2 linked regions of the Alligator mississippiensis genome follow. The protein of the gene in region 1 interacts with the protein of each later gene in a pairwise test. Links are inferred from orthologs where the notes say so. Each region holds a gene or a part of one and is shown on either strand. Other genes may lie near its edges.

Evidence for each region.
Region 2: the proteins of RETREG3 (region 1) and STAP1 interact in binary tests that used the Homo sapiens proteins (3 or more experiments, as listed by UniProt). The two-hybrid records come from large-scale screens. The link is inferred for Alligator mississippiensis from reciprocal best matches to the Homo sapiens genes RETREG3 and STAP1.

What each region holds. Positions count from the first base shown.
Region 1 is NC_081827.1:152,039,635-152,048,777, forward strand, and holds the start of RETREG3 (reticulophagy regulator 3), read right to left. Parts: upstream 3,631-9,143; 5' UTR 3,620-3,630; coding exon 3,444-3,619; intron 1-3,443. Other genes in the region: TUBG1 (tubulin gamma-1 chain), read left to right, coding at 3,842-3,890, 4,056-4,168, 4,617-4,784, 8,701-8,769. UniProt on the Homo sapiens protein: Endoplasmic reticulum (ER)-anchored autophagy regulator which exists in an inactive state under basal conditions but is activated following cellular stress.
Region 2 is NC_081825.1:133,206,419-133,215,922, forward strand, and holds the start of STAP1 (signal-transducing adaptor protein 1), read right to left. Parts: upstream 3,730-9,504; coding exon 3,718-3,729; intron 2,224-3,717; coding exon 2,152-2,223; intron 1-2,151. UniProt on the Homo sapiens protein: In BCR signaling, appears to function as a docking protein acting downstream of TEC and participates in a positive feedback loop by increasing the activity of TEC.

The sequences.
Region 1 (9,143 bases):
GTTACATGCAACTCCACAGTTCTTAACAGGGGGTCACAGCACCCTAGGGTGCCACAAGATTCTTTTGAGGGTGCCACAGGGTACAAGGAGGTAAGCACTCGTTCTTCTCCACCCGGCCCCTATGCAAGCAGGTAAGTGCAAGCTCATTTGCCTAGCTCCAGTGCAAGGAGGTAAGCTCATACTTGTCTTTGCCTGCCCTGTGTGAGGAGCTAAGTGCTCGCTCCTCCCCTAAGATAGTGAACAGTTTCATCCTGCCCCAGCTCCAGTACAAGGAGCTCAAGACAGTCAGCTAAGCGCATAAATTGCCCTGCTACTCTGTAGGAAACTAAGCGCTCACTCTTCTCCCAACCACCACCCTCACCCGGGGTTCAGTGCTGCAATAAAAATAATAAATTAGTTATTGAAATAGGGTTCCATTTGATTCACAGGAGTTATGGAGGTGTGACAGGAGTCTAAGAAGTTCAAGGGCCACATCTTACCAAGACAATCATGTGTTGCCATAAATTAAACACACAAAAGGTACAAATCCTACCACTTCAAAAGGTAGCATCTGTTCAGTTCTATACTGGATTCTCCCTCCCTCTCCCCTCAGCTTGGTGCTTTGTAAGGTCTGAATCCAATATCATTAGAGAAGCAGATCATTTAAATTCCAGACAGAGACTCTCATACTTAGCAATCTGCCTTGAAATCCATCCAAACTAGTACACACTGCAAGCAGTACCCATATAAAAATAAAGCAATAGAAGTGGGTTAGTTCTGAAAACTACCTCTCTGCCCAGAACAACCAAATAGGATTTGACCAAAAAATATATGCAACAAAATAAACCTTCCCAGCCCGTTCCAAATCCTGAGATTCTTAAATCCTGAAAATATTTATTGAAAACCCAAAGGAACAGAGACACCTGGGGAAGATGCTACACAGGAGGTGATTTCAGAGACAAAGGCCCCATATAAGACAGCGCCATCATTAAGGATTTCTATGAACCAGGGCATATGACCAGTAATCCCTTCAATGCCCTCAGCCTAGGGCAGTGTTCACAGGCTGCCCCTGAAGAGTCACTTCACAATTCTCCCACAGAGGAAATGCAGATGGAAGTGACAGCAAAGGAGTAAACCAAACTCAAGAGATGCCACTGATGAGTACTGTACAAGATAACTGCTGGCTGATTAAATACCAGGGGCTTCAGCTCCCTTGACACAAAAGATTCTCTGCATAAACACATTAATGAGCATGTTCCAAGCAGCTCTAACAGCACCAGGGTTACTTTGTGCAAGGCTTCTAGTTTAACTAGCAGACTTACTTTAAAAATAGAAAACATCCTAGTAGGCTACTAATAAGGTAAGATATTCAGGCAATAAAACACTCAAATGTTCAACTCTCCCTCTATGATTTGGCTCTTGCTGCTGATGCCAGCATAGAAGCGGAGCCTCAACACTGTCCTTTTATAATAGAGCTTGGAGATTAAAGGACTGTGGAATGAATCTTACCCTTCTAACTTAGCAATTAAACATCTGGAAGCCAAAGCTAGACAACAGGAAACTTACATTCATTACTCTGCTAATGCCAATTCACAACACAGAACTTGACCAGAATGCTACACAGCAGTAAAGTGTTCCAAGTTCAGAGGACAAAATCATTTTGAAGCTTCCTTCTCCCTAATTCTGTAAATGGCTGAGATTCAAACACAAGATCCAAGCTCTAACCTGCAGCTCTTGTAGTGAGATTGCACTAGAGATGTAAATTTCCTTCCCCCCCCACCACCACCCCAATTCTTCACTTTCTCCTCTCTCCCTCCACCTTATGCAACTTTGCCTAGGTTGTGAACCCAAGTCAGAGTTTTCTCAAGTGTTTCAAGTGCAAGTAAGCAAACTCTCCCTACTCCTGAAGAAGGGTGTTTATGTCCAAAAGTTTGCAAAGAACAATTTTTCCAGCTATTTAGTTGGTCTAATAAAAGAGAGCATATTTACCCAAAGAACCTTGTCTGCTTCAAATGCAGTGAGAAATGTGTGAGCACCTGAGGTATGAGACCAATACTAACAATACACAAGAGCTAATCCACACTTCTGCCAATGTCTTTTAATAGAATCTCAGTGCCCCTTACCATGTAGCTTCTAGCTAGCCAAGCGCCATCTTAGGAAAGCATGCATTAGGTTGACTTTTATTTCAGGTGATCGAGGAGCAGTTAAATTAATTCCTGTTTCTGTGCATGAAAGATGGAAGGCCAGGCCCAAAAGCCTGCTTGTGGCCAACTCCACTCTGAGGGGCTGTCTTCTGATGCTCAGATCCTGGAGGGATATTCTTTGTTTGTAGTTACCCAGACACCAATCCCACTTGGTTAACTTAACAGCAGTGGCTGGGACTCGCTCCAGAATTCAACACTCCTCATCAAGCAGAATGATGGGATTTTTTGGAGGGGGACAGGGGTTTGAGGCACGATGTCTTAAGGGAGCTGAAGAGGTTTCCTTCTCTATCACTTGCTCAAGGATGTTGGAAGATCATAACCAAGAGCCATGATGGTCAACCTACTTGACAGTCCTGGGCTTCAAATTCAGAATCATACCAGTCTAGAACACTGTCATCTTGGGTCCAACTTGATTTATTTGGAGCAGGTGGAATACGGGTCCTGCTCTCAGTGCTCCAGCTGTGGATTAGCATGATTTATTCTCTTTGGCAGTAAAAATGTAACTGCCATAAGCCAAAACACTAATTACTAGGCATAGCCATTTTAACACCAATTACCTCCAGTCTACCAAGAAATCCCTGAATAGTCTTTTTGGCATGCGGGTCTGATGACGAGGAAGAGGCTCCACCCGGCAGTAAACTGCCAGAAAACTACAGCATCAACTCCAAAGAATTGACTCCTGAGAGCGGGCTGCCCACATGAGCTTGTATTAGATCACACCAAACCCCCTTTCTCACTAGAAGTAGCACTCACGCACTTGGGGAAGAGGGGAAGCGGACAGGTGACCAAATTGGCTAGCACAGCCGCCAAGACACCCAAAAAGTCTCATGATCTGTACTCAGTGCAAAGCCACTCAAAGCAACCAAATTATGCAGTCGCTCACACCCAGTTTGCCCATCAAAGCACATGAGCGGGAAGCTCCGTTTCAGCAGGCCGACTCTGTGGGTCAGCTCCCAGCTTCAGGAGCAGGATGTGCAGGGCTGAGGTGAGTGGTGCGCGGGCTAGATGCCGTACGGGGGGCCGGGCCGGGCCGGGCCAAGCGGGGCGCGCAGGGCTCAGCCCGGCCTCGGACACGGGCTCCAGCCGCGCGGGGACCTGCGCACGGATCGCACCACGTCCGGAAAGGCGGCGACCGGGGGCCGGGGCCGCACTGGCCAGGGCCGGGGCCGAAGTCCGAGCAGCACAGCCCGAGTCCGCTCCCCGCCTCAGACGCCCGCAGGGGGGAGTTGGGCCCCCGTGTCCCGCCCCGGCGCCGCTCACCAGAAGAGGCCGTGCGCGGCCGCCCAGCCCAGCGCGCTGCGACCCGGCCGCTCCCACACCAACGCCGCCTGCAGAGCGCTCAGCGCCGGCTCGTAGGGCCCCAGCCGCGCCCGCAGGGCGGCGCTCAGCGCTCGCACCCGCCGCTCCCGCTCGCCGGGGCCGCCCGCCGCCGCCATCGCTGCCCTCCCCTGCGCCACGGGAACAACATCCGCCGCCCCCCCCTGGCCCCGCCCCGGCAACGGCCGCCGCGCCTGCGCGCGGGGCTCAACATGGCGGCGCCCACCGTTGAGCATGGGCGCCGCCATCTTGTTGCACGGACAGCTGCCACCTAGTGCGCAGGCGCGGCGGGCTCCCGGCGACGCGGGGCGGGCGGCGGTGGAATCGGCGGCTCCGGCGAGATGCCGCGGGAGATCATCACCCTGCAGCTGGGCCAGTGCGGGAACCAGAGTGAGCAGGGCCGGGCAGGCGGGGGCGCCCAGGAGTGCCCTGCCTGGGGCCGGGGCCGGGGCCGGGGCCGGGGCCGGGGCCGGGGGCAGGCAAGGCCGGGGCGGGCAGGGCCGGCCGGCCGGGGGGCTGACGCCGCCTCCCCTCCTCTTCCCTCCTTGGCCGCAGTCGGGTTCGAGTTCTGGAAGCAGCTGTGCGCCGAGCACGGCATCAGCCCCGAGGGCATCGTGGAGGAGTTCGCCACCGAGGGCACGGACCGCAAGGACGTCTTCTTCTACCAGGTGCGGGCTCGGTCCCCCCCAGGGCCGCTCCGATCCCAGCCCCTGCCCCGTGCTGCCCCCAGGCTGTCGCCTGCCGCGCACGGAGGTGCCTGTGCCCCTTGCGGCGCCCGATGCAGGCGGCCCCCCGGCCACCGTCACTGAGTTGTCATGTATCTGCTACGATTGGGAGCACATTGTGGAAGGGGGCCGCGTCTGTTCTGCGTGTGCGCATGCAGCACCCGGCACAGCAGGGTCCACGGACACAAATAGGTGCTGTCTCGAGAGAGAGGTGCCCAGTAATAACTGTTGCCTTGCCAGTCCGCTTCACCAGGACCCAAAGCTGATGCTTGCTGTGTTCATAGCTCTGGGCTGACAGCCGGTGCCTGCCTCGGTTTCTCCCGCAGAGCAAAGCGCTGTTGAGTTATGACTGTATCATGTTCTTTAGCCTTCTCACCGCTCCCCGTTACAGGCAGATGATGAACATTACATCCCTCGGGCTGTGCTTCTGGACCTCGAGCCCCGAGTGATCCACTCCATCCTGAACTCTCCTTATGCGAACCTGTACAATCCTGAAAACATCTACCTGTCTGAGCATGGGGGTGGGGCCGGAAACAACTGGGCCAGCGGCTTCTCCCAGGTAAGGGGCCTCATGCATGCTGGTGCAAGCATATGTCTAGTCCTTGTGCTTAAGAGCTTACCAGGGAATTCCTTCAGCCCTGCTGGGATTCCGGAATCCTTCAGCGCTCTGTGTTGTTTTGGGTCCCATGCTTCAAAAATATGTGGACAAATTGTCTCTCTCTGGTGGACTCTTTCCAAAAATGTTCCCCAGGGAGACTGGTCTGAAGGGAAAAGGCATCCAGGATTGCTGGTTGTACTTTAGTCATAGTCATAGAAAAGTTGGACACTCCAGAGGTCATCTAGTTCAACCCCCTGCTTGAGGCAGGATCATCCCTATCCAATCCATCCCATACAACCATAATCTAAACTGTACATAAGACTACCCTCAACCCTGATGAAACGCAGACCTAACACCCTAACGTGCCACAGGTAAAGCAGGGGAACCACAGCATCCAAGGTCCTGCTTCCATAAAATGTTTTCAATATATGCTCAAGAGGTCCTGCATAGAATACCACTACTATAGAAGAAATCAAAGATCCTCACAGACCATACCAGTCTGACCATGGAGTAAGATTCCTTCCTGACCCCAAATATAGCGATCAGTCTGACCCTGAGCAGAATGGCGAGACCCTCTATCCAGGAACCTCCAGTTTTGCTCCTAGCAGGAGAATTGGCACACCCCAGTTGAAGTCCCCAATCTTAGCTTTAGACAACACCCAATGCCTTTGGGGAGGCTTAAAAACACATTGGCACATGCAGGAATGAACCATCCATATGCAGGAAGACTAGCAAGTATGGCTGAAAACCAGCTTGGCATAGCGGGGAACTCTTCAGTGAGCTAAAACACAAAAAGGAAGCTTACAAGAAGTGGAAACTTGGACAAACTACTAGGAAGGAGTATAAGAGTATTGCTTGGCATTCAGAGATGAAATGAGGAAGGTCAAGTGCAACAGGAGTTGCAGTTAGCAAGGGACATGAAGGGTAACAAGAAAGGTTTCTACATGTATGTCTGCAAGAAGAGGAAGATCAGGGGAAATGTGGGTCCCTTACTGAACAGGGGGGCAGTCCCATTCAGCAAAGGCTGAAGTACTTGATGCCTTTTTTACCTCAATCTTCACAGGCAAGTTCTGCTCCTGGCAGCATAGTTTGGGGAGGAGGTAAGCAGCCAACAGTGGCAAGAGAACAGGTTAGGGACTATTTAGAAAAGCTGGATATGTACAAGTTGATGGTGCCAGATGTGATGCACCCAGGGGTGCTGAGGGAGTTGGGTGATGTGGTTACAGAGCCACTGGCTGTTATCTTTGAAAACTTTTGGCAATCAGGAGAGTTCCCAGGTGATCAGAAAAGGGCAAATATAGTGCCCATGTTTAGAAGAAGGAGGATCTGGGAAAGTACAAACCTATCAGCCTTACCTTAGTCCCTGGACAAATCATGGGACAGGTCCTCAGGGAATCCATTTCTAAGCACTTGGAGGAGGCAGTGGTGTTTAGGAACCGTCAGCATGGATTCACCTAGGGCAAATCATGCCTGACCAACCTGATTGCTTTTTATGAGATGACTGGCTCTTGTGGGGAAAGCAATGGATGTGATATACTTTGACTTTAGCAAGTCTTTTGATACAGTCTTCCATAACAGTCTCACAAGTGAGCTAAAGAAGTATGGGTTGGTTGGTTGGTTGGATGAATGGACTGTAAGGTGGATAGAAAACTGGCTGGATAATCCAGCTCAGAGGGTAGTAGTCAATGGCTCTGTGTCTAGTTGGCAACTGCTATCAAGGGGAGTGCCCCAGGGGGTGGTCCTGTGGCTGGTTTTGTTCAATATCTTCATCAACAACCTGGCAGATGGGATGAGGTGCACCTGCAGCAGATAACACCAAGCTGGGGGGAGTAGTAGATATGCTATAGGGTAGAGCTAGGATTCAGAGAGACCTTGACAAATTGCAAGATTGGACCAAAAGAAATCTCATGAAGTTAATTAAGGACAAGTGCAAAATCCCGAACTGAGGATGAAACAATCCCATGCACCGGTACAGGCTGGGGACTGAGTGGCTAAGCAACAGCTCAATAGAAAAGGACCTGGGGCTTACAGTGGGCGAGAAGCTGAATATGAGTCAACAGCGTGCCCTTGTTGTAAAGAAGACTACCAGCATACTGGGTTTCATTAGTAGGAGCATTGCCAGTAGATCAAAGGAAGTGATTTATTCCCCTCTACTTGGCAGTAGTGAGGCCACATCTGGAGTAGTGTGTCCAGTTCTGGGCCCACCACTACAGAAAAGATGTGAACAAATTGGAAAGAGTCCAGCAGAGGGCAATGAAAATGGTTAGGGAGCTCGGGACCGTGATTTATGAGTAGAGACTGAAGGAACTGGACTTGTTTAGTCTGGAGAGGAAACGACTGAGGAGGGATTTGCTAACAGTTTGAAATACTGAAAGATGATTATAAAGAAGTTAGAGAAAGCTCTTTCTTTGTGGCTGTAGGGGACAGGACTAGGAGCAATTTCCTCAAGCTGCAGCAGGGAAAATTTAGTTTGGAAATTGGGAAGAACTGTTTGAGTATGAGGTCAAGCACTGGAACTGGCTACATAGAGAAGCTGTGGAATCTCCATCCGTAGAAATTCTTAAGAGCAGGTGAAAGAAAAGCTCTTGGCTGGAATAGCCTTAAGCAGGGAGCTGGATTAAATGACCTCATAAGGTCCCTTCCAACTTTACTTTCTTATGATCCTAAGTGCTGATATGCAAGTACCATCCCATTCAGGATGGACTCATGGGTAAAAAAACACCCCCAAAGGATCTAATGGCATGGCTGGAAGCTGCATGACATTATGCCTGGCACATACCTGTGGCAGGTTAAGGTGTTATGTCTGTGTTGTGTCAGGGTTAATGGTGGTTTTATGTAGAGTTTAGATTATGGATTGTATAGTATGGTTTGGATAGGGATGATCCTGCCTCTGGCAGGGGGGTTGGACTAGATGAGTGTTTCTCAACCCTTGGGTTGCAACCCAAAAGTTGGTCATAAGAATATTTGAAAGGGTTGTGACCGTCATAGAAAAACACAGGAAAGTACATGTTTGCCCTTGCATGCTGGCAGAGTTCTAGCATACAAGGGGCTGCTTGGAGCTGTGGGGAGTGGGTAGAAGGTGATCAGCCAGGAGGCACCATATGCATGTGCGTATGCACATGGCAACTAAGCAGGGTGGGGAGAAGCTCCTGCAGCTTCCCACCGGTAAGTCTATGGGGTGGAGGGGGCATAAACAATGCATTGGGGGGCAGGAATGGGCACAGGCAACATTTGGGGGAGGACCTCACTCCCAACCCACAGTCCCCCCACCTTCCCAGCCCTGCTGCTGGTACCCCTCACTCCCAACCTGCTGCTTCCCATCCCCAGCCCTTCAGTGTGTTGGGGGGGATGGGGGGGCCACATGCCCCTCCAGAGTTGTGCACCTGCAGCAGGCACGGGGCTGCAGCCTGACCAGACTGACACAGGCAGGAGCTGCTTCCATGGCCCAGCAGGTGGGTCCCAGCATGGGAGAGTGGGCAAGGGCAGCGAGACTCATTTCTGCTGCCACCATGAACCTGTGCCAGCTGTGCTTCCAGCAGCATGAGGAGTAGCCAACTGGGGGGACACTGGCAGGGCCAGAGATCTGTGGGTTGGGAGTCACTGGCAGGACCAGAGGGCTGTAGGTCAGTGAGGGGCACCAGCAGGGCCAGGGGCCTGTGGGTCAGGAATGAGAGGTACTGGCAGGGTCTGGGAGCTGTTTTCTACTTAAAGTATTTACTGAGTCGGGACTGGCCATCAATGTTTACAAATTCTGGTACAAAAATAGTTGAGAACCATTGAACTAGATGACCTCTGGAGGTCTCTTCCAGACCTACTTCTCTGTGATTCCTCAAGGAGAAATTAATGGAATGAATGTTGTTTTGGTTCTGCCTTGCAGGGTGAAAAAATCCACGAAGATATCTTTGACATAATAGATAGAGAGGCTGATGGGAGTGACAGTTTAGAGGTAAGTAACAAAGAGGCCTTAGATCATTCATTGCTGACTGTGCCAGACTGCCATTTCCCAGGGTAGATCCCAGCCCTAAAGTCTCTGCTGTTTTGTCTGGGTTACTTTGAAGCTTCAATCTTTGTGGGAACTTGGAGGATGCAAATGTCTTTGGGGATAAGGCTGCTGAGCAGCTTGCATCCAGAGTAGTAATCCTAGACAGGAAGCTTTTACCAAATCTGTTGTGTTCTCCCCTAAGATTCAACATCTTCATCAGTCACTTGGAGGTGGGCGTGGAAAGCACACTGTCCGAATTCACTGATGACACAAAGATGTGGGGAGAAGTGGGCACACTGGAGAGGAGGGACAGAATCCAGCTAGATCTAGACAGGTTA
Region 2 (9,504 bases), on another chromosome or scaffold:
TGTCTGGGAGTGCTTTAATGAGCCAGAATTTTCTGCACAGAAAATTCAGGTCTTTAATTGCATTTGTAGATATACCCAGAGTGTAGCAGATAAATCCACTGCATACCTATCACTCAAAGGTCATTATTCTCAAGAAAAAAAATCAAGCTGGTTGCTGACCCTATACTAGAATTCAGAGCTGGTGCATTTGGCTGTCCTATTTTACTGACTCACCCTGGCAGCCAGATCAGGTAGGTCCCACTGGCTCTAACACAGGACAATCAAAACCTGAAAGGTGTTGTGAGGCAGGAGGAAGGGAAAGGACAGGGGGAGAGGTGCTACATGGAGAAACCTGAGGAACAGGTGATGCAAAAGAGAGCTCAAGTTATAATGTATGGTCTGGTCTTACAAATAAATGCATATTGTAAGTGTGTTTGAGATTGCCTAATACAAAGTAATAAGTGTTTTCAGTGTTGTCTAGGAATGTTTACTTTCAGGACAGTGTCCAAGAACTTCAGCCTGAGCTCCCCAGACCAGATCCCTCCTTCCTCTCAGGTGCTATTGCTGATGCGATAGTTTTCCAGAAAGGCATCTAGCTGCCTGGAGGCCATTACATTACCAGTATATTAGCCACAGTGCAGAGATAAAATTCTCCCCTCACTTTGCCTGTTCCCAGCTTCCCTCTACATACTTACAACATTAAAGTCACAATTGAAAAGACAAAGTAAATATTAGACAGCCAGGAAATACGGCATTAAGATGATACTTCCTGTATAGAGATGTAAACAACTTCAGCTACAACCTCTATATGCAAAACAGATTACTTAATTAAATATGCCCTCTGGAATTTAAAAACAAAGTTTACTTGTTATGGCTGGCTTTTGAGTCCTAAGAAGATGTCTATGATGATTCATGCATGGGCTTGCAGGGAAAAACTATAAAGGGGGAAAATTCTCACTATCATAGTCCCTCTCTTTACACATCTTGTACAGTGAAACATTTGGGAGATGTTGCAGAAACGTACTGCTGGAGGGTTTTGATTCTTCCAACAATTTATCTGGGAACTGCTGGCCTAATATAGACTCTTGGTGGTTGTAAAACACAGTCTTTACTGTCATGTTCATTGAACAAAGTTGTTGCTGGCGAGACTGCAGTAGTTTTGCTAACCACTGCAGCTTGAAATTTTTTATTTAAGAGCTAAGTTATGACATTGTTGTAAACTATGCTCTTAGGACAACCTAGAGCAATAAGTCTTTTACATCTTTCACTGAAATAAGCATAAATCAAGCACTACTTTAGTGAAGTCAAGGGGCCACAACAATATTCTAGTCACATGGGAGAGAATAATCAGGCCCTTTATAAAATGGTTTTAAGGAAAAAATACATCCCTATGCACACTGCTCTGAAAAACTGTGGTGGGGCCTTCAACTGTGGAGCTTGGTTTCAAACACAGTTCAAGCAAGATAAGCTGTGTCCGTTCAGGGTATTAAATAATTCTTGTTATACTGGTGCTTGTTTTTGATCTGCAGAAATTTTGTGTTAGGAAGGCATAAACTTGGCACTGGAGTAGAATTTCTTGCTTTTCTGTCAAAGAGCCTGTACAAAAGATAAAGAGGATATACATGCTGTATGTATCATAATAATAGCATCTTTCAACCAGCATTTTCCCCCACTATTTTGAAAACCATATATAGATTAACAGCTGCTTCTCAGCTGTACAATGAAGGAGGGAATGTTTAGCTCTGCTTTTAAGTGCTGTGAACAAGGTGATCTTTAATGTCCATTAAAAATGCCCATTGGGTCCTAGTGGATTGACTACTTGATGGGCTCAGGAGATCTGTGTTCTATTCTTGCCTCTGTGTTTCTTGGGTGACCTTGAAGAAGATAGTCCACCTGCCTGTGCTGCAGCTCCAGATAGATCTCATCCCTAGAGCAAATGCTCAGTGTAGCCTGAATGACTGTGGTGAGGAAGAACTTGCTGTATCATAATTTCACTTCCCATGACTTCACCAGGCATTTTGGTTTCTGGGCTTGCTTTCTGCTCTTTGGGTTTCCAAAGTGTGGGAGGATGGAACTGAGAGAGGCAGTTCTCACACACATGCTTTCTTGCTTGATGATAAGTACTATCGAAATTGCTCAAACATCTTCACATTAGCCCATAGTGCTACTCACCATTGTGGTTTTCTTATCGTTATAGAAGAAAAGTGTGGTTCCTCTGAGTTCTGTCCAGTGATGTTTAAATTCCTGTTGGGTATGAAAAGAGAGTGTCAGTTCTGTGGAAGCTGACAAGATTATCCAGTCAAAAAGTGCCAGTGAATGAAGGACTTAAGAAAAATATTGAAACCTGGACAGTTCTATTTCAGCACGGGATAGCTCTGGAGCAGTCCAGGATCTTCTGCTGACAACTCCTCACAAGCAGAAAAGGTCTATGAAATTAGTCCTTATTCAAAGTCAGGACTTCATGTCAGCAGACCCATGGCCCCTTGCTTTATTTTTGTGACAGTGTAGCTCTACTGGCTTCAGTAGAGGTCTGCCAGTCTAAAACTGGCATTACAAAGCCATGAGCCATGTCCATTATCTTGATTTTGGTACCTGATACTATTGATACTGGTAATCACAACACTTACAACACCTCCAGACTGCTTAGTAACCTGCTAGTATTTTCTAATGTTTTTGTTTCATAGTTAAAACAAGCGAATTCCACAAAATAAAGAAGAAACTATTAAAATAGTCTCATATTTTATATTGCTCACCCTAAATTTTATATCATGGAAGGACTCCATACTAAGGACAGATAGGAGAAAAACTGCAGGTTTTAGCCCTGTAGGGCAAAGGTGCAGAACATGCAAAATTTCCTCTCTTGTCATCTGAAGAAAGATTCTTTGTGCCTGAACATTTGTTTAACATCTCTCCCAATTGCTCCAATAAAAGATATCAACAATCTCTTCCCCCCCCGGCTTCTTGTATATTTTCTGGACTGTCATGGCTACAACAACATTTTCTCATCGAGTCATTCTGACTTCCTTTTTTAACCAGTTAGGGAGCTGCCTCAAAATAAGAATTTATTGTTTATCACGTGGAAAGTATATAGGTATGTTTCTGCATTTATGCCATTATTTTCATTATAAAATTATAATCCTTGTGTCTTCCACTATAGACTGGGACAGTGAATGATGATGAGTTGCTTGTTCTCAGATAAAACCATAACAACTAATTTCTTTCAGTGTTTTAGGTAGCAAATGTCTGTTTAGACATTCTCTGAAGGCACAAACAGGCCAATGTTTAATGTATTAAAATGTGTGTTTAAACACAGGTGGTAGTTTTATTTCTAAGCACCTAGGTGAGGTCTGATTTATAGACAGTGTGGGGCACCCACTGGTGCTTCTTGATATCAGTGGAAGATCTGGATCAAGAACTCAGGTAGCTGAACAGACATTAAACATTGATGTCCCTGCTGACATGGGCCAAAACAAAGCTAGCTGAGGGCAAACAAATGCGGAGATGGAACCCTCCACGCCCAGTCATCGTTTTTTTTTTAACTGTCTAATCCTGAAAAGATTTATTTTGACCCTGATAGTTTGTTCACATGAGGAACATGCTGATATTAATTCCATGCCCTGACACTAAGGATATTCTGACCTTATTCTACACTCTTTCGTTTAGAATGACAGTTTATGTACTTCGTAATTAGGTAATGCATGATAAAGATGAGATGAGTTTTTTTGAAGTGATTGATACCTTCTTGTACATTACGGTACAACTGGGGGTGATTTAGTGCTAACATCTCCCAACTATTGATAGTAATGTCACATTTTTTCAGATTGGCCTTCACGGTGTCTTTGAATATCTTTTGCTCACATCTACAGTGGTGACCGTCAGTCATTTGGGAGTATAGGACCGGTTTTAGGAGCCAGTTGTCAGGCACCCATGTAACATATCTTGTCCATGGAGCTGGCAGTTGTGCGGGCCGGGTCAGACCCCGGGCCCTTTTTGTCGCTCTGCACGTGGGCTGTGGCCGGCAGCCCGGGCAGGCCGGGTCGGAGAGGGAGGTCGCTGAGTTAGAATTAGGCACAGACACGTAACGGTTGATTTTAAGATTGTTTTACTTACACCGAGATGGTCGCGGTGCAGGCTGAGAACTTGCTTGAGTTGCGGTTACAACAGAAAACACGAACACACGTGGAGTTTGCTAGGCTCCACGCAGACAAAACACGAACGATCACGTGGAGTTTGCTAGGCTCCACGCAGACAGAACTCCAGATGTCCAGGACAAGCGCGCATTAAACTCGTCGGTACGTCTTATAGTAGGCTCCGTTCGAAGACGGGAAGAGGTGGGCGGTGGATCAGGCCGCCAAATTCCTCTGGGCAACACACAGGGTTTCTATTACCCTGCCGTGCACACCCAGAGTCCCCGCGAGATGGATGCGGAGTCCTCTTCGGCTTGGGCGGAAACTGCTCAAGCCTCTTATACGGCTAGCAGGCCAATCGCTAGCCGCCACGTGTGAATAATTTAGAACTAGCCAATTGCGGGGCACGAATTTACATACGACGAGTGGGAACTCTTTGCACCGTGCATTTCTGTGTTGCAAAGGAAATGCACCCTGCAAAGATCGCTGCAAAGTGGCGGGAACACTCCTTTGCACGCGGGTTCTCTGTGCAGCAGAACTCCTCCGTGCAATGAAGCTGTATACCCACGGGGATAATTCGAGTGCCGAAGCACACACAAAAAAAATCAGACCTTTGGGTCATGACATCCCCCCTTGCTGAAGGCACAATAGAATTATACTTCAAACCTATCATCCGGGTTATTAACAGCTCTGTCAATGGTTCGCGAAACTAAACGAGCAAAAACAAAATCAGTCAACAATAAAAGTTCGTCCTCAAGGGATCGAATCAAATAATAACCGACACACACACATATACATAAAATTACATTCATAACAAAAAACTGAACGATCATGACTTCGGTGGGCGTCATGGTGGAATCGCGCGTCAGGCCTTTGTTCCTTTTGGTGATGTTGTCCTTCTCGGGGCCTCTCTCCACCACGCACTCCGAATCCCTGATCTGTAAAAGAACTCTCTCAAAATGGTTATTCACAAATCACACAGGACCGCACGATAATGCAGTCGATTAAACTTATCATTACTTATTAAATACAAATATGTAAACACGATTTTATACTAGACAGCTCTTTCTCTTTTCCGACTCAGCAACTCGACGAAATCGTCAATGAGTCGTCGTCGCCTTCTTCTAGATAGTGAAAACCTAACTCGTAGGCTAGCTGCCATTGTCCCGCATCTCCTAAAATCCGAAGCTGTCTCTTATTAAGTCCAGAGCGCTGCAGGAGGTATCCAAACATGTATGACTCCTCTTGCGTTCTCTGGCATAATACTGGACGCTCGGATTTGCGGTGTTTCGTGTTCTGAGCCTCGGTCGGGCGTTGATACTCCCGATCACTGGATAGTCTTGGCTCCATTAGGACGTGCAGTCTTGACAACTGATGAAGGAGACTACTCACAGGATGATCGACCAGTGGGTTCAGCACAATCCGCAAAACCACGATGTTTCTTTGCCCATAAACTTTAAGACAACTATCTATGCTGTCGAGAGTCACCGGAACGGTTCCAGGGTCTCGCAGGTGACGATGAGGCCACGGTCGCATTCGTTGGAGCGGTGTTAGTCCCAACATGCATTCTCTTGGGTTCCAGGCGCAATACGAAACTCCGATAATAGTTAGTACAAGCTGTTCTGCACTGGTATGCTCTGGTCGGCCATCGTGCCATGCGTGGGCCTTCTGTTCAATCACTCCTGCCACAAGCGCTGGAATCGGAATAGGCCAGTGGACGCTAAATGCCACCATGTTGATGTCAGTGACATGTCCCCTACTCCATGAAGCTTGTCTCACCAAGAAGCTTGCTTCTTCCTGGTCCAGGAGGTCGGACCCAAGTTCCACGACCAGACGTCCCAACCACACAGCCAGAGTTTCTTCGGGTCGGATCCTGGATTCTCTACACAAATTCTGCAGTTCGGCTCTGGAACGAGCGTAATAGGTGGTAGCTTGAACTGCATTCTGCGGACCAATGACTGGGCTGCTTTGTACTGCAGGCTGATCAGTTTCTTCGCGAGTTGTCGTTGCTGTTGCTGTTTCTGTCGGAGCTGTAGTCATTGTTACAGTGGGGGTTGTTGTTGTTTCAGGCGGGAGGGGCGGATGCACTCCTCTGCTTGACTCCCCCTCCCTTCGGCAGAGGGGCGTGGTCGGCGGAACCGACGCTGCGTCGCTGGGCGGAGTTACCGGCCGAACACTCGCGGGCTCTCCCAAAGCTCCATCCCTCACTTCCGGCTCCTCCACGCGGTCTTCCCTCTGCTCGGTGCCATCTTGTTGGGGCAGTTTAAGATCCCCTTTCTCAGCCGCTTCTCCGACTGCCCGAACGGCCATATGCAGCTGGGTCTTTAAGCTTAAAGTTTCACTCATTAAATCAGTCATAGTCTGAAAAGCTGCATTTAGTTTTCCCCCCTTGTCGCACTGTAGGACCACTCTCTCATTTACGGCACGGTCCTCCGTCTCCTGGTCTTCGCGGAGCTCGGACAGACGATCTTGACCCCTCAGTCTGGGCACCACCATACAAGGGGAAAACCAGCCGATTGGCATCGTCTCTCCCATCTCTCGGGCACACCGTGAGCAAAGGAGACACTCCCGGGTGGGGGTCGGGCTTACTGCGCTCGCCGGGTCGACTTCAGCAAGGGTCACAGCCTCGAGGGGCCTGTACAGGACCCGCTCATCGGCCATGATACACCTCAACGCCGCGGGGTGAAGATATATTTCTTTCCCTTCTAGGGCTCCAACTTCTGGAGTTCCCTCTTCTCCCCTTAACGAAAGGTATCCACAGACACATCTCTTGCCCGTTCTGCCCGCCTGGTGGTACACGAGGTGCGCCTCCAGTTCTCCGATGCTTGCTACGCTGCGTCTCCCACTTCTCCAAGGGCAGTTCTCAACTAATTCTAACTCTAGCGAGCCCTCTCCTGAGCTCATCGCCATGTGCCGCGGTGATCCTGATCCCATCCTCGTCGCCATGTGCGGGCCAGGTCAGGCCCCGGGCCCTTTTCGTCGCTCTGCATGTGGGCTGTGGCCGGCAGCCCGGGCAGGCCGGGTCGGAGAGGGAGGTCGCTGAATTAGAATTAGGCACAGACACGTAACGGTTGATTTTAAGATTGTTTTACTTACACCGAGATGGTCGCGGTGCAGGCTGAGAACTTGCTTGAGTTGCGGTTACAACAGAAAACATGAACACACGTGGAGTTTGCTAGGCTCCACGCAGACAAAACACGAACGATCACGTGGAGTTTGCTAGGCTCCACGCAGACAGAACTCCAGATGTCCAGGACAAGCGCACATTAAACTCGTCGGTACGTCTTATAGTAGGCTCCGTTCGAAGACGGGAAGAGGTGGGCGGTGGATCAGGCCGCCAAACTCCTCTGGGCAACACACAGGGTTTCTATTACCCTGCCGCGCACACCCAGAGTCCGCACGAGATGGATGCGGAGTCCTCTTCGGCTTGGGCGGAAACTGCTCAAGCCTCTTATACGGCTAGCAGGCCAATCGCTAGCCGCCACGTGTGAATAATTTAGAACTAGCCAATTGCAGGGCACGAATTTACATACGACGAGTGGGAACTCTTTGCACCGTGCATTTCTGTGTTGCAAAGGAAATGCACCCTGCAAAGATCGCTGCAAAGTGGCTGGAACGCTCCTTTACACGCAGGTTCTCTGTGCAGCAGAACTCCTCCGTGCAATGAAGCTGTATACCCACGGGGATAATTCGAGTGCCGAAGCACACACACAAAAAAATCAGACCTTTGGGTCATGACAGCAGTCATATAAGCATAGCTTCAATGCTGGTAGAATTTATTTGAACTAGAATACTAGCATCTGTTCTTCCAATTGAAATAGAGAATTTTCTGAAGACATCACTGATGGTAATTTTCAAACCTTTCAGGTGTTTCTGGTATGTTGTCTGGGTTTTGTACCCATACAACAGCATAGGAACAATGGCAGCCTGGTAAACAAGAAGTTTGGTATGGGTCCTGATGTCATAATCATTTAACATGATTTTGGAGATGTCCAAAGGCGGTACTGATAGATTTTATCTGATGTTAAATATCATCATCTATATTTACTTTTTGGAAGAGGCAGCTACCTAGGTATGGGAAATGTTCAACATTCTCCAAAGATTCTCCTTAATTGTAAGCAGCTTCTTGGGTTGGGATTGGTAAGGTAGTTTGGTTTTCTTGAAGCAATCAGGAAGTCCCAGGCATACACAACACAATGACCAGTATATTGAAGATCAGTAATGGAAGTGTTGGTTATTTTGGATTGGGAACATAACCAGTTAATATTAAAGAAATCCCAGTCTGTCAGTACTGAATGCTGACTCCAGATAGAAACTTATCAGCAATGATGTACAGAATAGCTGCAATACAGATGAAAAAAAATGTTGATGCAATTACAAATCCTTGCTTGACTCCAGTTCTAATAATAAATGGGTCTGTTTCTGAGCCATTGCTTAGGACAGCTGCTGTCATGTCATCATAAAGAAATATGATGATGGTAACACATTTTAACAGGCATCTTTTTGTACATCAACTGACATGCACGCTGAAGAAGGGCAAAATTTGCTTAACTTTGGGACCAGCATTGTGTGACAATTTGTTGCCCATTGCTTCCATTAAAATGAACATCAGTTATCTGTATGCCACTTAAATGCAGAAACAACAGTACACAGCATCTTTCAGCCCCAATATCTACTTTATAACATAATTGTACTCTGCATAAATGCACAAAAATGGTGAAGATGAAGCAGCTGTTAAAAGGCTGCTATTAGAAACCCTGAAAATGAAAGGAGTTAGTCTATTTCAAAACCACTAATACCACAGCACTGACCATGCTGTATATTTAATGAGTACTGTTTGGATAATTTATGCATAGGCTTGTTTTTCTGAACTTAATCTGAGTGCATTGCATAGTCTTTGGGGCAAGGGGTCTATAGCAGGGAGTTTGGTGCTCCTACTATTTTAAAGGAAGGCAGGCTGCAGGAAAACCAGGCGGTATGGATCTCAAAGGCAAAACCAGCAACAGCTGAGAAGGAGGAACAGGAAGCAAGGGGGAGGAGACAGGAAAAACAAGAGAGTTAGAGAGGCTGGGGGAAAACAGCAGGCCCTGTAACAGCTCTGTAAGAAACTGATATAATAAAAGACACGGTTTATATTAAGTAGGGACCTGTTCCTTGATTACCCATACAGGGTCACATGAAACAGCAGGTAAAGCAGAAGGTAATCAGGGGAGCCACATGATCCCAAAAGAGGTTGGCTTGCACAATATAAAACCAGAGTTTGAGCTGGACAGGCAATCTAGCCCTGGAAGCCATTGAAGGAAGAGCTCCTGAGCAGGTTGCAGGGGGAATCTCCGATAAAGTATCTAAGCTGCTTGGGGAAAGATAGCCTTAGGGCTGGGGAAGCACCAGTGGTTTA